2 linked regions of the Drosophila melanogaster genome follow. The gene in region 1 interacts genetically with each later gene. Each region holds a gene or a part of one and is shown on either strand. Other genes may lie near its edges.

Region 1 (8,181 bases):
CATCACCATGCCCGAGCGAGATGTGCGCAAATCTCAGCCAGTATTGATAACAATAAATGGTAAGTGATAAAGCCACGCACATAAATGAAAACCTTTTTAAATATCTTCTCCTTTTTTCAGGTGGCCCCGTGGTACGACTCAAAGGATCCATAACTTCCATGTCTTTTTTAGACTCATACGGTTCGATCATACCCTATACGTTTGAGACCTGGCGTGACGAGAAGAGGGACAACAAAGATCGTAAGCATCTCGACTTCATACCACATTGATCTGATGCCCCCGACTAATCCACATATATATCCAATATGATTTCAAGGCACACCAACAAAGAGCAGCAGCCGCACCAGTCCCACATTCACACCGACAACTGCCAATACATTATCAAACACTTCGGTCGCGGGTGGTGCGTCCGCAGGCGGAGGAGCTGGCGGCGGTGGTGGTGCCGGCGGTGGTGCGGCCAGCGGTGGCGCAGCCGCAGGAGGGCCAGCCGGCGGTGGTGCCGGAGCAGGATCGGCGGCTGGAGCGGCCGGCGGCGTTGGAAGCGGTGTAACCAGCGGCGGGGGGATGAGCAGCAGCAGCGCCAGCAGCAGCGGCATCAGCGGAAGTGTGAGCACCGGCCTGGAAACTCTCACCGATCGACAATACATCGTTATCGCAAGCGAGAAGCAAACAAAAGTCTTCGATGTCGCCAACCAGTGCTGCATCAACCGCATACAATTATCGGAAATGGATTTTGCAGTCAAGGCAGAAACTATCACGATGAAAGGTGACTTTCACTTTGTTTTATTTTCATTTTATTAGTGGAGCAAGAAAGTCATAATTTGTTGTAATTAGTGCAATTGATTGTAATTAATACATATATCAACGTTCCCTTCATTCCAGATGGCTCTTGCTTAGCAACCTATCTTTCGAATGGCCATCTAATGGTACATAGTCTTCCTAGTCTAAAACTGTTATTGGATACTGATTTCTTACCACTTATGGAACTAAGGTGAGCCGTACACTTATAAGGTACTCTTAGCATTTTTACAACTAATGGTTCTATCGTCTATTTAGTTTTCAAACAAAATGTAAACAGGGAATTGTGGATCCAATGCTTTCGATATGGGGTCAACAGATCATTGTTCATGAAGATACAACTCAGTAAGTCCTAAGCTAAAATATATATTTTTATTTCCAACTTTTACTAATCTTGTTCCATTATCCACAGAATATCAAAAATATTTTGCTTTAGTCATAAAGGTCATGGATTGTACATGGCATCGCCCACCGAAATTCAAAAATTCACGATATCATCGGAATTTTGGTAAACCAAAACAAACATAATTCATTGTACTTTAAACATTGCATATTAATTTGTAATTCTTTCCCTTATTCAAGTCAATTTATTTTGGAGATGATGGGTGAACTATATACGGTACACGAAATGCCCGAACAGCCGAAGGAGGGTTTCTTCAAGGGTCTATTTGGTGGTGGCGCCAAACTCCTGGATCGCGAGGAGCTATGTGAGTAGATCTGCATCAGATCTGCATGTCGTTACCATCGATCATTTCAATAATCCGTACAATTCCTATCCCTATCCTTGCAGTTGGCGAGCAGAGCGGGAAACCGAATCGATCGGTGGCACGGCACATACCCGGCCCCAATTTGGAGCAGCTCGGCCAGAGGGCTTCCACCGCCGCATCGGAGATCAGCCGGGCGCACCAGCTGGCCATGGAGCGCGGCGAGAAGCTAAATTTGCTGGAGGAGCGCGCCGAGCGCATGGCCAACACTGCTCAAGATTTCAGCGGCACTGCGCATCAATTAATGCTTAAATATAAAGACAAGAAGTGGTATCAGTTGTAAAATATCTATTTTAGGAGCCAATTCTACCACAGTTATTGTAATATTGCTTTTATAACACTTTCTACTACATTACGAGTAAAGTACACTTATTTAATTTCTGTTTTCAAGTCGTCACGTTATTTACAAAAACCGAAAACCAACAAAAAAAAACAACAAAAACCGAAAATTCACAAAAACAAAAAAACTGAAAGAGAAAACCCAACCAAAAAAAAACTGTTTTTAATAAAAATATATAGACCAAAAAACAGGCACTGTGGAGTCTTAATGTATTCATGAATATTGTGGGTTATTAAAGTATTTTTAATTTGATTTCTTTGTTTCACATGTTTTATACGCTCGAACAAAGTGGGTGCTGCTTTCAATCGTTCTTTATAGTAACATCAACTCTGAGTAGACTTTAGTATCAGATTCGAACATAACAGCAGCACACGAGTGAAAAGTGTTTTCTGTTCCCCATTTGAATTATCCGCGCAGTGTTGTGTCAGTGCTGAAAATCGCCGCAGAGTCGCGAAGTCAATTTCAATCCGATAGTTTAGCAGTGTGCCACGGTGAAGTATCGTTTCTCGTTCATACCTATCTGAGCGTATCGTTCCACGATATCAGGTGGCAGTGTTTGGTTGAACCTATCGGGCCCTATCGATATAAGCAAAAGCATTTTTGCTGGATCTACCATTTTATTTTAGTTAATAAAATACATATATTTCCTCTCTTTTTGTTCCGTTTGTGCGCGTACAAAACTAGCTGCGAACTCGTGCAATATTTCATAAACTGAATGGGAAAACAACGATAACGACGAAAGAAAACGAAAACGGATCTGCGACGAAATTTTCCCCGTTCCGTTTTTTTTTCTCCACCAGCAGCAGAAGCAGCAGAGCAAAAGCAGCGAATATATTTGTAAAAGAGAGCCCCAACCTTGAGAAAAAACAACCAGCAGGGCAATAATTAGTTGAATTTATCGTCTGCTGGTAAGAAATGAACCCAAATGTGAACTTAGACCGTTTGATTTCCGCGAGGATCCATCATTTTTTCACCCATTTCGTCCAGTTTCAAATGCGTGCTAAATATGCTAACGTGTGTGTGTGTGTGATGGGTCTTCGATGGTGTGCGTGTCTCGCTGTGCGCTTCAATGTGTTGGTCTGCTTCTCACACTCTGCGTTCGTGTGTGTGTGTATATGTGTGCCTTCGAAATTTTCTTTTGTGTAAAACATTTGTAAGGTGCAACTGCAGCTGTGTGCGTGTGTGTGTATCGCTTTGACTGCCGTTGTTGTTTTTGTTGTTGTGCGTCATAGCAATGAGTGTGTGTGTGTGTGTAATATGCATTCCAACGGGGTAAGAAAGAAGAGGAAGCAGTACCTGTCGCCAATAAATATCGTATATCGATGTCTGTCTGTGTTTATTTAGAATTTCCCTTCAGCCCGCCCCCGTGCAAAAGGAAATATTGCTCCTCCTTCACCTCCATCACCTCAAGTAGGGATCAAGTGTAATCGATAATGCAGACATATCGATTGGTCCGTTGAGAAACATCAGAAAAACACGTAAAGTGCAAGCTGGAAAAGAAAAGCAAAACAAATTCCGGAGAGCAGAAAGAGAGGTGGAAAAGAAAGTGTTGAGAAAGGGATGACAGCAAAAAGAGGCTCTGGTGATATTAGTTAAATGTCAGCTGGTCTGTAAATCGTCGCGACATTTTGTGTTGGGGCAACTATTCAAAACTTTCCCAAAAACACTGTGAAACAACTCTAGAGAAGATACCACTCATTTTTCTTAAGGTTAAAATATAAAACAGTACACGATTACATTTTCTGGGATCCGCAAAACTGTTCGTTTTGTAATAGGTCCCTTTGTAGTATTAGAGTAATATAGTTGTTTAGATGAAGGGTGTTCAAGTGTCAGAATGATAATTAGTAACTCCTAGCGTTTAGTTCTTAACTTAATATATACAAAACATATAATGTTCCCAACCCATGCAGTTTTTCAAGTGAACGCGTCCAACTGTTTTTGAAGCGAAGCGCTTAGGCGGAGGAGCAGCTAGCCAGGATGGACAAGATGCGGATATTGAAGGAAAGTCGCCCCGAGATAATCGTCGGTGGCAAATATCGGGTGATCAGGAAGATTGGTAATTCAGCCGTGCGATTTTATCCCCACAATATTCTCTAATCTCTGAAAATTATTCACAGGAAGCGGATCGTTTGGCGACATTTACCTGGGCATGAGCATCCAGAGCGGCGAAGAAGTGGCCATCAAGATGGAGAGCGCCCACGCCCGCCATCCGCAGCTGTTGTACGAGGCCAAGCTGTACCGCATTCTGAGCGGCGGCGTTGGATTCCCTCGTATACGTCACCATGGCAAGGAAAAGAACTTCAACACCCTGGTCATGGACCTGCTGGGACCCTCGCTGGAGGATCTGTTCAATTTCTGTACGCGCCATTTCACAATCAAAACGGTTCTGATGCTCGTCGACCAGATGATCGGACGCTTGGAGTACATCCATCTCAAGTGCTTCATCCATCGCGACATCAAGCCGGATAACTTCCTAATGGGCATTGGTCGGCACTGCAATAAGCTGTTCCTGATCGATTTCGGTCTGGCCAAGAAGTTCCGCGATCCGCACACGCGCCATCACATCGTTTACCGCGAGGACAAGAACCTCACCGGCACTGCCCGCTATGCCTCGATCAATGCCCATCTGGGCATCGAGCAGTCGCGGCGTGACGACATGGAATCGCTTGGATACGTGATGATGTACTTCAATCGCGGCGTACTGCCATGGCAAGGCATGAAGGCCAACACCAAGCAGCAGAAATACGAGAAGATCTCCGAAAAGAAGATGTCCACGCCCATCGAGGTCCTCTGCAAGGGCTCGCCGGCCGAGTTCTCCATGTATCTGAACTATTGTCGTAGCCTGCGCTTCGAGGAGCAGCCAGATTACATGTACCTACGTCAATTGTTCCGGTGAGTACGATTAAATCATATATTGCATACGAATCTTAAGATTACACCCGATTGTTTTTGTGATAATGTTTGTGGTGATAATCATTGTGGAGGCTGTATTCGATATGTGTTTAGGTCATAGTTTTCTTGTTTTTTTTTTTTAATTCGAAATGATGTAACCCCAACTTTCTCTTTAATACAGCATACTGTTCAGAACGCTGAACCATCAGTATGACTACATCTACGACTGGACAATGCTGAAGCAGAAGACCCATCAGGGTCAACCCAATCCAGCTATACTCTTGGAGCAATTGGACAAGGACAAGGAGAAGCAGAACGGCAAGCCCCTGATCGCGGACTAAGAGCTGCAGCGCATTCAGACGAATGGGGGGAGTGCATCAGAGAAGGAGAACGTGGATGCGTGGATGTAAATGACGTTGATGTGGGCGAAAGGCCCGGCAAGGAGCGGAGCAAATATGAAACAGACGCAACCGTAAAATTGAGTAACACCAGCGGTCGTCCGAATGTTTCTTAATATTAATTTAAATTCAATACTAAACAAATAAGGAACCACAAACAAGCAAGCAACGGCATCATCAGCAGGGCATATAAAATGATACCCCAGCAAATGTGATTCACGAGTGAATCACTGCGATCGATAATAACATAAACCGAAATTATTGCAAATCAATACGATTTAAACTAATTTGCAATCCATACACAAATCAACATACTTGCATAACACACCCACACACACACATACATACACACACTCACCCACTCTCATCCACCCACTCAAAAAGCAAACATCATTGCCCAAAAGGGGGAGAAAAAAGAAAAGAAGAGAGAAGAAGAAAAGAAGAGGAAAGAAATCAACAACACTTAGCCTAATAAATTACAAGAAATAATATTGGTAGAGTTGGAGGAACAAAATGAAGTAATGCTGAGGAAACTAAACCTATATATATATGTATATGTATATATGTAAGCGAATAAACACAACACCATATATGTATGCATATACCCATTTGATTCACGTCAAATCGAATCCAATGCTTAATTATGAATCGAGCGAAACAAAACTCAATAACTAATTAAAATGGAATAAATAAGAAACAAAACAGCAACAAGCAAACAACAACACAAAAAAACAACAAACAAATAAGAATAAACAATAAAAAAAAATTAATAAAACACACCGAGAAAAGCAAACAAAAAAAATATAGTGGAGGATGCGGAGGAGAAACAACCAAGCAAAGCCAACTGAGATGGGGGAAAATATAAAATAAAAGCAGCAACAAGAGTAAAACAAGCAAATAATAATTATAATGAAGAAAGAAAAAGAAGAAAACAGACCGCAAAACTGCAAAGTAATTTTGCATAGTACGCCGTAATAATTATAAATATAACTTATATTTAATTTTTTGAATTACATCAATAAATATGTTGAAATTAAATTTCGACTCGGCGCTGTTCACATCTGCATTAGATAGAGATGGGGGCATACGAAAGGGAAAGAAGTGCATTCAAATATATTTATTGTTGTAATATACGTCATTGTTTATTAGCGATTAGCTCTATTGGTTAATAATCTTTTTTAAAATTGTAGCATGTAATTAGTTTTTTTATTATACTATATTAAATTTACATAAAAATTGTATATTCATATATATATATATATGCATACGTTTTATTTGAGCCCCAACATTTAATTTCCCCCATAAGTGCTTTGTATCTAAAGTTGTATTCGTTTCAGCTGAAATTAAAATTTAGTTGAAATTAAAGATGCTTTTATATATTTAAATTAATCACAAAAAAATGCCTGTGTTTTTCAGATCTTGCGTTCAGTCATTAATAATGCATTTTAGTTATGAAAACTTGAACGTGACATAAAAACATTTCATTGTCACATTGGTTTATGGTTTATGGTTTATGGTTTATGGTTTGTTTATTTAAATTTGTACTGCTACTATTGATATCATCTAGTAGATTGCATAGCTGGTAGTTAGCAAAATATTCTGAAGAGATGAGAAAAAAAACGTAGAATCTTTGTAGAGAAAGTTGTCAATATTTTAAATTACGTTTATATTTAATGGAATGGTTATCTGCGATACTGTAATGGATGGTACAGGGGGGCGCAGCGTTAATCATCTTTCTTTAAAGTATTTTCCATAATGCCTCCAAAAATCGATTCGTAATGTTTTTTCACTTTCAGGTGGTCTTTCTTAAGATCCAAAACGAATTTAGCAGCTGACGTCTTTTGCAACCCGACTGTGAAATACATTTATTTATTAGACCCTCTTAATTTCTTTGTTTATTCGTCATTGTTGACCAATGACACGTACGCGGTCCGTCTGTGTGTGAGAATGTGCTTTTTATTATTTATTAACTTTATGGGATGTCCACTGCACTACTGACCCATTCCAATCAGCACCCCGTTTGCAAGCAGAAGGCGCTGATTGGAAAACACCAATTGCAGTGCAATTGCTGATAAGAACATTTAAAGTTCTGATTGAATAGTAAAAGAGCAAAAACGAAGCGCAACATTTATCAATTCGTCTCTTTAGTTTGACAAGAGATCTTAAAACATTTGCTATTTATAATTTTACATTTATAAATAACTTATTGCAGGATAACTCCTGAGAACATTGTCATTATTTTATCATTACATTCCTAAAAAGCTAACATGGGGAAAAATACAAATGAAATTTAAACTATGGCGCTTGTTTTGATACTGCGATTTAGATGGCTGCCACATAGTTTGACTTTGCCACCCGTGGAGCTGAAGTGACTGGAAATATATCTTTAACAACTTAAAGTTGCCTAACTAGTGCAATTATGCGCTTCAATAATGTTTTAAAAATAGTAGAAATTGGGACAGCGCTGCCAATAACTTCGAAAATTTAAAGGCAATCCAGTGGCACCACTGGCAAGCGAGTAGGTACAGGTGGCACCTCTACCAGTCGAGTTTGCACAGGTGGCACCACTAGCAAGCGAGTTGGCTCGATTAATGTTACTTGATTTACTATCGACTATGCTACTTGATTTAAAGGTATTATATGAAAAAACTTTCATTTCAAGTTTGAAGCATTTTTTCTTTTAGCTAGGTAAAAACTAACCGACTACAGAATAACCATTTACATATCTTAGACTCAAACGCTCTGACAAAAGAGCGCCTAACGGGAGGCCAAATGCCGTTCACCAAAAAGCATATATGACGTGGGCATTTTTCGGCTGACTCGCGGCTGGTCACACTGCCGGGCAACCGAATCGAAAAAACGGCGATTCGACATTTTTGTGCGAGTGTAAGGTTCGATTCCGATCTGGCTGGTTGTCTGACGGACGTGCTGCGTCTATTTTGTTGTGTTTTTTTGCGAACGAGCGAAGAGCGACAGGACCTCTGCGCCC
Region 2 (5,824 bases), on another chromosome or scaffold:
GCGAAAAGGGAAAAAGTGAAACGAAAATGAAACGAAACTAGGCACAGGACATCCACACACACACACACACACACACGGGGGATGCGGTGCGAGTCCTTTGAGGAACCGAGCAGCAACCACCACCACCGAAACAACATCAACAACATCAACTTGAACTCCCCATCCGCAATATGGGCGATGGCAACGGCAACAGACGGCATCGGACACATTTTACGGCTGCCCTACGGCGTATTATGCAAATCCCTCCAAGCGTATTGTGAAAAAAAAAATGCTCAAATAATGCACGAATAAAACATGCATTTCAATTGCGAAAACCACAAGGATGTCTGGGTGGCTTACAGCGCCATTTCCCTTTCAATTCACCTGAAACTAAAGGCCGGAAATCAAGAGCCACTCTCTTTTCGAATTTTGCTGGCTTAAATGTTCCCGGAAGCAGCGGATGTCGAGATTTAGGTAACTTAGTTGAAGGATTCGCTATTCTAAGCCAACATCATAGACTTTAGGCTTATAATCCATGTAGCTTTAATAATCAATAATTAGAACTATTTTTCACACAATATGTGGAATATACAATACATATGTACATACATGTATCATGTATATGTACATACATATGACAACTAAATGATCTACGGTTTGTTATTATATCCTCCTAAAATATGGCTAAATTTCGATACCCGACACAACGAAGACCAAAAACAAGGAAACCCGAACAAAGGCGAAACAAGAGAAAAATGCATGTGAGGTTTTTGTTTGTTTTATGTCTCTCTGCCGGCGTCGCTGCTGCTGCGTCTGGGCAGCGATCACGCACACATAGAGAAGCACACAGAAGAAGGAGGGAGAGAGGAGGGGACTCAGCGCAGCTTCCTTTTGACTGGCTCTTCTTACAGAGGAAAAAATGATGTGGCTGTAAGTATCACTTGTTCCTATAGATCTTAAATGTGCAACCAAGTGATTGTGTGTTATTTAGTATTGGCATTGTTGTAAAATTTATTACATCACAAATTATCAAATAAATTTATTAATGCACTGATTAACAGTAATGGTACTAAACTCGAACCTATTAATCAAATATTGCACTTTTCGGCTTAAAAATTTGTCCTGTTGTGTAGTTACTTTACTTGGTTTTTATGTTGATTTTGGGAATTCTAAAAATGCTTGCAGCTTCATCCTTCTGCGTCTCTGTCTCCTTCTCTTCTCCTCGATTCCCCCCACCCCCTATTCGTGGCCCGCATCGAATGCAGCAGATGACAGGTTTTCGCTCTCCTCCGCCCCCTGCTTTGCTGTGCTCTCCGGCTTTATGGCGCTCCCCACCTCCTTCGTGACTCGCTGCACAGGATGTTGGAATATCACGTCGTCGTGTCCGTGTTCCCGTCTGTTCCTTGTTCTCGTGCTCTTCGTCTTCGTCTTGTGCCATTGCCACTTCACCTTTTTTGTCTGCATTCGAGCTAAAGGGGCTCCCCTTTAGCCCCTTCTTCACCTCAGCTACTCCTTCCACTTCCTTTCGCTCCAAAACTGTCTGTGTATTTTATTTTATTTCGTTTCGTTTGGCTTTCGATGTCTGCAGCATCCTTGGAACTTTCTGGCACAGTGGGCCCAACAAAAATATTGCATGCACCATTGATAAATATAGATAAATGATCGAAAGAACACACCATTGCTATGTTTACTGACAGAATTATTTTCAAAAACTCGTTAAGCATTTATTAATTTACCAATAGAATCGGTAAAAACCTTAGTACCATTATACATAGAATTTTTGTTTTAAAATTCAATTTATAACCTGTCCTTGTCAAGTCAGCACACTGTGTCTACATCGTGGACAGGTATTTTGTACCTCAAGTGGATTATTTGCAATATTCATGGCACAAGGTGGAATATACACCACCCTTGGGAGGACTTAAAATTTCGGGCTCCCCCTCTTTTATAATTTATTTTCACGTGCGCAGCTATACACAAAAAATACTTTTGTATTTTGAATTAATATAATTTTAAAATGGTCTACCGTACTGCATCCTTTTTCTATGCGTTTATTACTTTCTACTAGTTTTCGTTTATTATACGTTGAAAAGATATATTACACACGAGGTGGTGAATTGTTTACGAATCAGCTTCGCGAGTAAATGCTAGGGAAGTTATTTTCTCTATGTACAGGCCATAGATCGCTGTTGCTATGTACATATGTATGTATGAATGTATATATTAGGTTGTGTTTACATACATATTTACATGGGCCCTCTGGATCGTATTCCCAGAACCATTTCGCACTTCTCTTTTTCGTATTCTCCCTTTTTGCCACGATCGTGACGGTTATATGCAGTTCCTTTGTTGTAACCACTACAAAGCCAAAATAATTGCAAACTCAAAAGAAACCCATAAAAGCAAGAATAGAGTTAGCCCAGGAGAGAGAGCAGCCACTTTTTTCGGCCAGGAGAGAGCAGCTGCCTCGCTCTCACTCACACACGAGCCACAAAAACGCCGGCTCTCAATACATACATATATACATACTTAAACTGCAGGCCATGTAAAAACAAAAACAACAAGGCAAAAGGGCGCCCAGCATAATGGGGGAAACGAAATGGAAGAGGAACGCAGCCTAGACTAAATTGCAACAACTGCAAATTGGGGGGAACGCATGGCGCCAAACGAAACGTGAGACAGACTCGCGCGCACTGCCATACATACACGAAAAGTGATTATTACAACACAAGCGCTGCGGCGCGTGGGCGCGAGGAGGGGGAACGCATGAGATAACGGAACATGCTGCCGCATTAGTCACCACCAAAGCACAACAGATGTGTGTACATGTGTGTGTGTCAGCTACCACCGAACAAATGAGTGCAAAGGAGTTAGCAGGATGCCGAGAAGGAAGCGGAGAGAGGAATGGCAAGGGGCAGGGGAGAAGAGCATAGCAACCAGTGGAAACAAAATACAGTGAGTATTGGCTAAGAGCTATTGGGTATCTTTGCAATAAAGTGTTGCATACCCTAGGGAGAAAAATATTTATAAAAATCTTATTGGATTAAAAAACCATACATATTAACGAAATTAAATAAAAAATATTTTTAAAATTTTACTGGAAACTACGTAAGATCATATTTGATTGTATTCAACCTTTTGGTTATATGCATATAAATCGTAAAGTACATGTTAAGAAACCGAATACTGTTATTCTCGTAATTGGTAATTGAAGATGCAGACTGCGAACGTGAATGCAAAGTGCCAATTAGGAAATTTAACAATTTGGAAATAAAAGTCTACATTATTGGCAATAACTAACGAAAAGCAGAACAGGAGGCACAGTAACGAACAAGATAAAGCTTTAGTTGAGCCTCTGAACTGGTATTTTTTAGCCATCACTTCCGCCTTCGCGGGCAACAGCGTCGACGGCACGGCGGCAGAGGCAGCTGCCTGTTTGCAGCTGTGTGCGTGCACAAAAATAAAAGGGCGCATGAATTTGCATAATTTTCGGAACCAGATGGGGGGCGTGGCCGTCAACAAAATTGAAATGACAACTCGAGCTTTTCAATACCGCTTATTTATGTATGCGATGTTATTAATAAGCACATGGTGGGCATTAAACAAACCTGTATTGCAGTCAATTCCTGATGGAAACGGCGAAAAAGCATGTAAAATGAATTGCCGATTCGTCGTTGTATGCGTTTTTCCCGAGTGTCGGTGTTTTTGGAGCAACTTCACGTTGAATGCATTGCGCAAATAATTATGTTTGCCGTTGCAGTTTTTTTGTTTTTGTTTTCTTCGCTCCGCTTCGCCTCTCTGCTTCTTTCCTTGCCGCCTTTTCTGCTGATGCTTTCAAACAAACCAACACTCACACACGTATGCAGAAGGCGGCTTGCAATTATGCTAATGCGGCTGTTTGCGACACTTTTTCTTCTTTTTTTTGGCCGACACCGCACAAAACTGATTTCGCAGTTGGCCCAATAAAATTGGCCACAGAACAAAGCGAATTAAGAAGCAACACACACAATTCAATGCTCTGTCTGAAAACCGCGTCCGTGTCAGAACGCGTCAAGAACTGGAGCTGGTGGAGACATCGGCGCGCTATCGATACATCGATGACGTTACCACGGTATTTATGCATTTACTTAGAAGTAACTCATTTGATTTTCAAGAATTAAAGTCAATGTTGGTATGACACTTGGCACAAGCAAACAGTAGGAATGTTTCAGAAGACATACTCTTTTATACATACACAACTTAAATTTAACAGTTTTTTCGGGAAGATATGGCTAAGTTTTACTTAAATTCAAAATGGGATAGGCATCTCTAGTTTTTAGCTACATTGCATTCCAATTGGAATAAGCCGTCCTTAGCTACTTAAATCGATATGTTTCGATGACTCTAACATCGATTGCCGAGGCATGTGCCCTGCACGTTTTTTGTAAACAAACGAACGAGTATTTGAACAAACTGAAAATGGGAGCATTGGCAGAGGTAGACAATGCATTAAATATGCAATGTGAGTAATTAATTCTTAAATACTTTCCCCAGCTGGCTGGTGATGAGAAAAACGGCGAAGGATCTCGTACTTTTGTGTTCACCAACGAGGGCCACACGCTGGGAAATGCGCTGAAAACGATCATAGCCCGCTACCCGGAGGTGGATTTCTGTGGCTACACGATTCCGCATCCCACGGAGCAGAAGCTGCACTTCCGCATTCAATCCCGTCGAGACAGAGCCATAGATATACTTAAACGGGGACTGGAGGATCTGGAGGGTCTGTGTGATCATACAATCGTTACGTTCGAAAAGGAGATGGCCGAGTTTAATGCAATGAAAGTGGAAAATTAGATATATATGTATAAAGAATACTTAAAACTAAACCACGCTGCGCGCCTTCTTGGGATCGTAGTTGGGCTTGCGTAGATGATGATAGTTTGGCAGGACCTTGCGCAGGAAGTCGATCTGCAGGGTCTGCGATCCCTGCTTGTCGATGGCCTCGCGCTGCAGGCCCTGCTCTCCATAAACAATCGTGTTTTCGGGCAGGCGTTGACTACCATGGATCTTTATTCCAGCTCCCACCACACAACCGCTGGAAACAGTGACACCGGGGCCCACATAGCACTTGCTCTCGAAGACGTTCTTATCGCCAATCTTGGCCGCTTCCACTTGGCAGCCGACTTCAAAGACATTGTGAGTGCCAATGCTCAGGATATTGTTGACATCCCAAACGGCGCCCGGCTCCAAGCGGTGAGCTACGGTGGCATATTCCTCTATGATGCAATTCTCCCCAATTATTATGGGACCTGCGTCGGCGATAACGGTGGCACTCGGATGAACCACACAGCCCGACGAGAAGGTGATGTCACCGCGCAGGCTGCTCTCCTCGCAGACCACCGCCTTGGGTAGGATTTTGATTCTGTTGAGTGGCAATAGTATAGCTGCATTTCGTAAATTAGTTTTGCAAGTACTTATGCTGCAATCACCTGTTTTCCGAGGGCATTTTCTGTTTTCTTAAATTGTTTACGTTTTCTCACGAAGGTGAGAAGGAATTTATATTTATCGATAATAAATGAGGGCTTGCAAATGAGGCGATATATTATAGCCAGATTTAGTTACTTTAAAATATCGGAAAGGTAAAAATAATGATTAAAGACCTTTGCATAAAAAAACCAGATATAACAATAATGACGTCGAACTTTATTGCTCAAAAACCAAAATAATGTTGAATACTCATTTATAAACAATACATACTGATTCCCGTTCATAGGGATAGTTGTTTTTATAAAACCCTTTTATGCAGAGAAATATTTTTTAAGAAATAAACACAATTATTTATAATGTAATAGAAGATTTCCCGTCC

Evidence for each region. Genes that interact genetically often act in the same process or in processes that back each other up.
Region 2: of CkIalpha (region 1) and brat, changing one enhances a phenotype caused by changing the other (phenotypic enhancement), as found in Drosophila melanogaster (one study listed by BioGRID).

The regions. Positions count from the first base shown.
Region 1 is NC_004354.4:12,651,359-12,659,539, forward strand, and holds CkIalpha (casein kinase ialpha), read left to right. Parts: upstream 1-2,441; 5' UTR 2,442-2,810; intron 2,811-3,040; exon of another isoform or gene 3,041-3,174; intron 3,175-3,341; exon of another isoform or gene 3,342-3,611; intron 3,612-3,812; 5' UTR 3,813-3,879; coding exon 3,880-3,958; intron 3,959-4,019; coding exon 4,020-4,794; intron 4,795-4,975; coding exon 4,976-5,135; 3' UTR 5,136-6,476; downstream 6,477-8,181. Other genes in the region: tomosyn, read left to right, coding at 1-59, 121-240, 317-766, 883-991, 1,057-1,143, 1,211-1,306, 1,381-1,505, 1,589-1,845. UniProt on the Drosophila melanogaster protein: Casein kinases are operationally defined by their preferential utilization of acidic proteins such as caseins as substrates. Can phosphorylate a large number of proteins. Negative regulator of wg signaling.
Region 2 is NT_033779.5:19,132,040-19,137,863, reverse strand, and holds the start of brat (brain tumor), read right to left. Parts: upstream 4,043-5,824; 5' UTR 3,588-4,042; intron 2,935-3,587; coding exon of another isoform or gene 2,884-2,934; exon of another isoform or gene 2,631-2,883; intron 1-2,630. Other genes in the region: Polr1D (RNA polymerase I and III subunit D), read left to right, coding at 2,884-2,934, 4,043-4,090, 4,513-4,812; DCTN6-p27 (dynactin 6, p27 subunit), read right to left, coding at 4,840-5,380, 5,448-5,464. UniProt on the Drosophila melanogaster protein: A NHL-domain family protein that functions as a translational repressor to inhibit cell proliferation.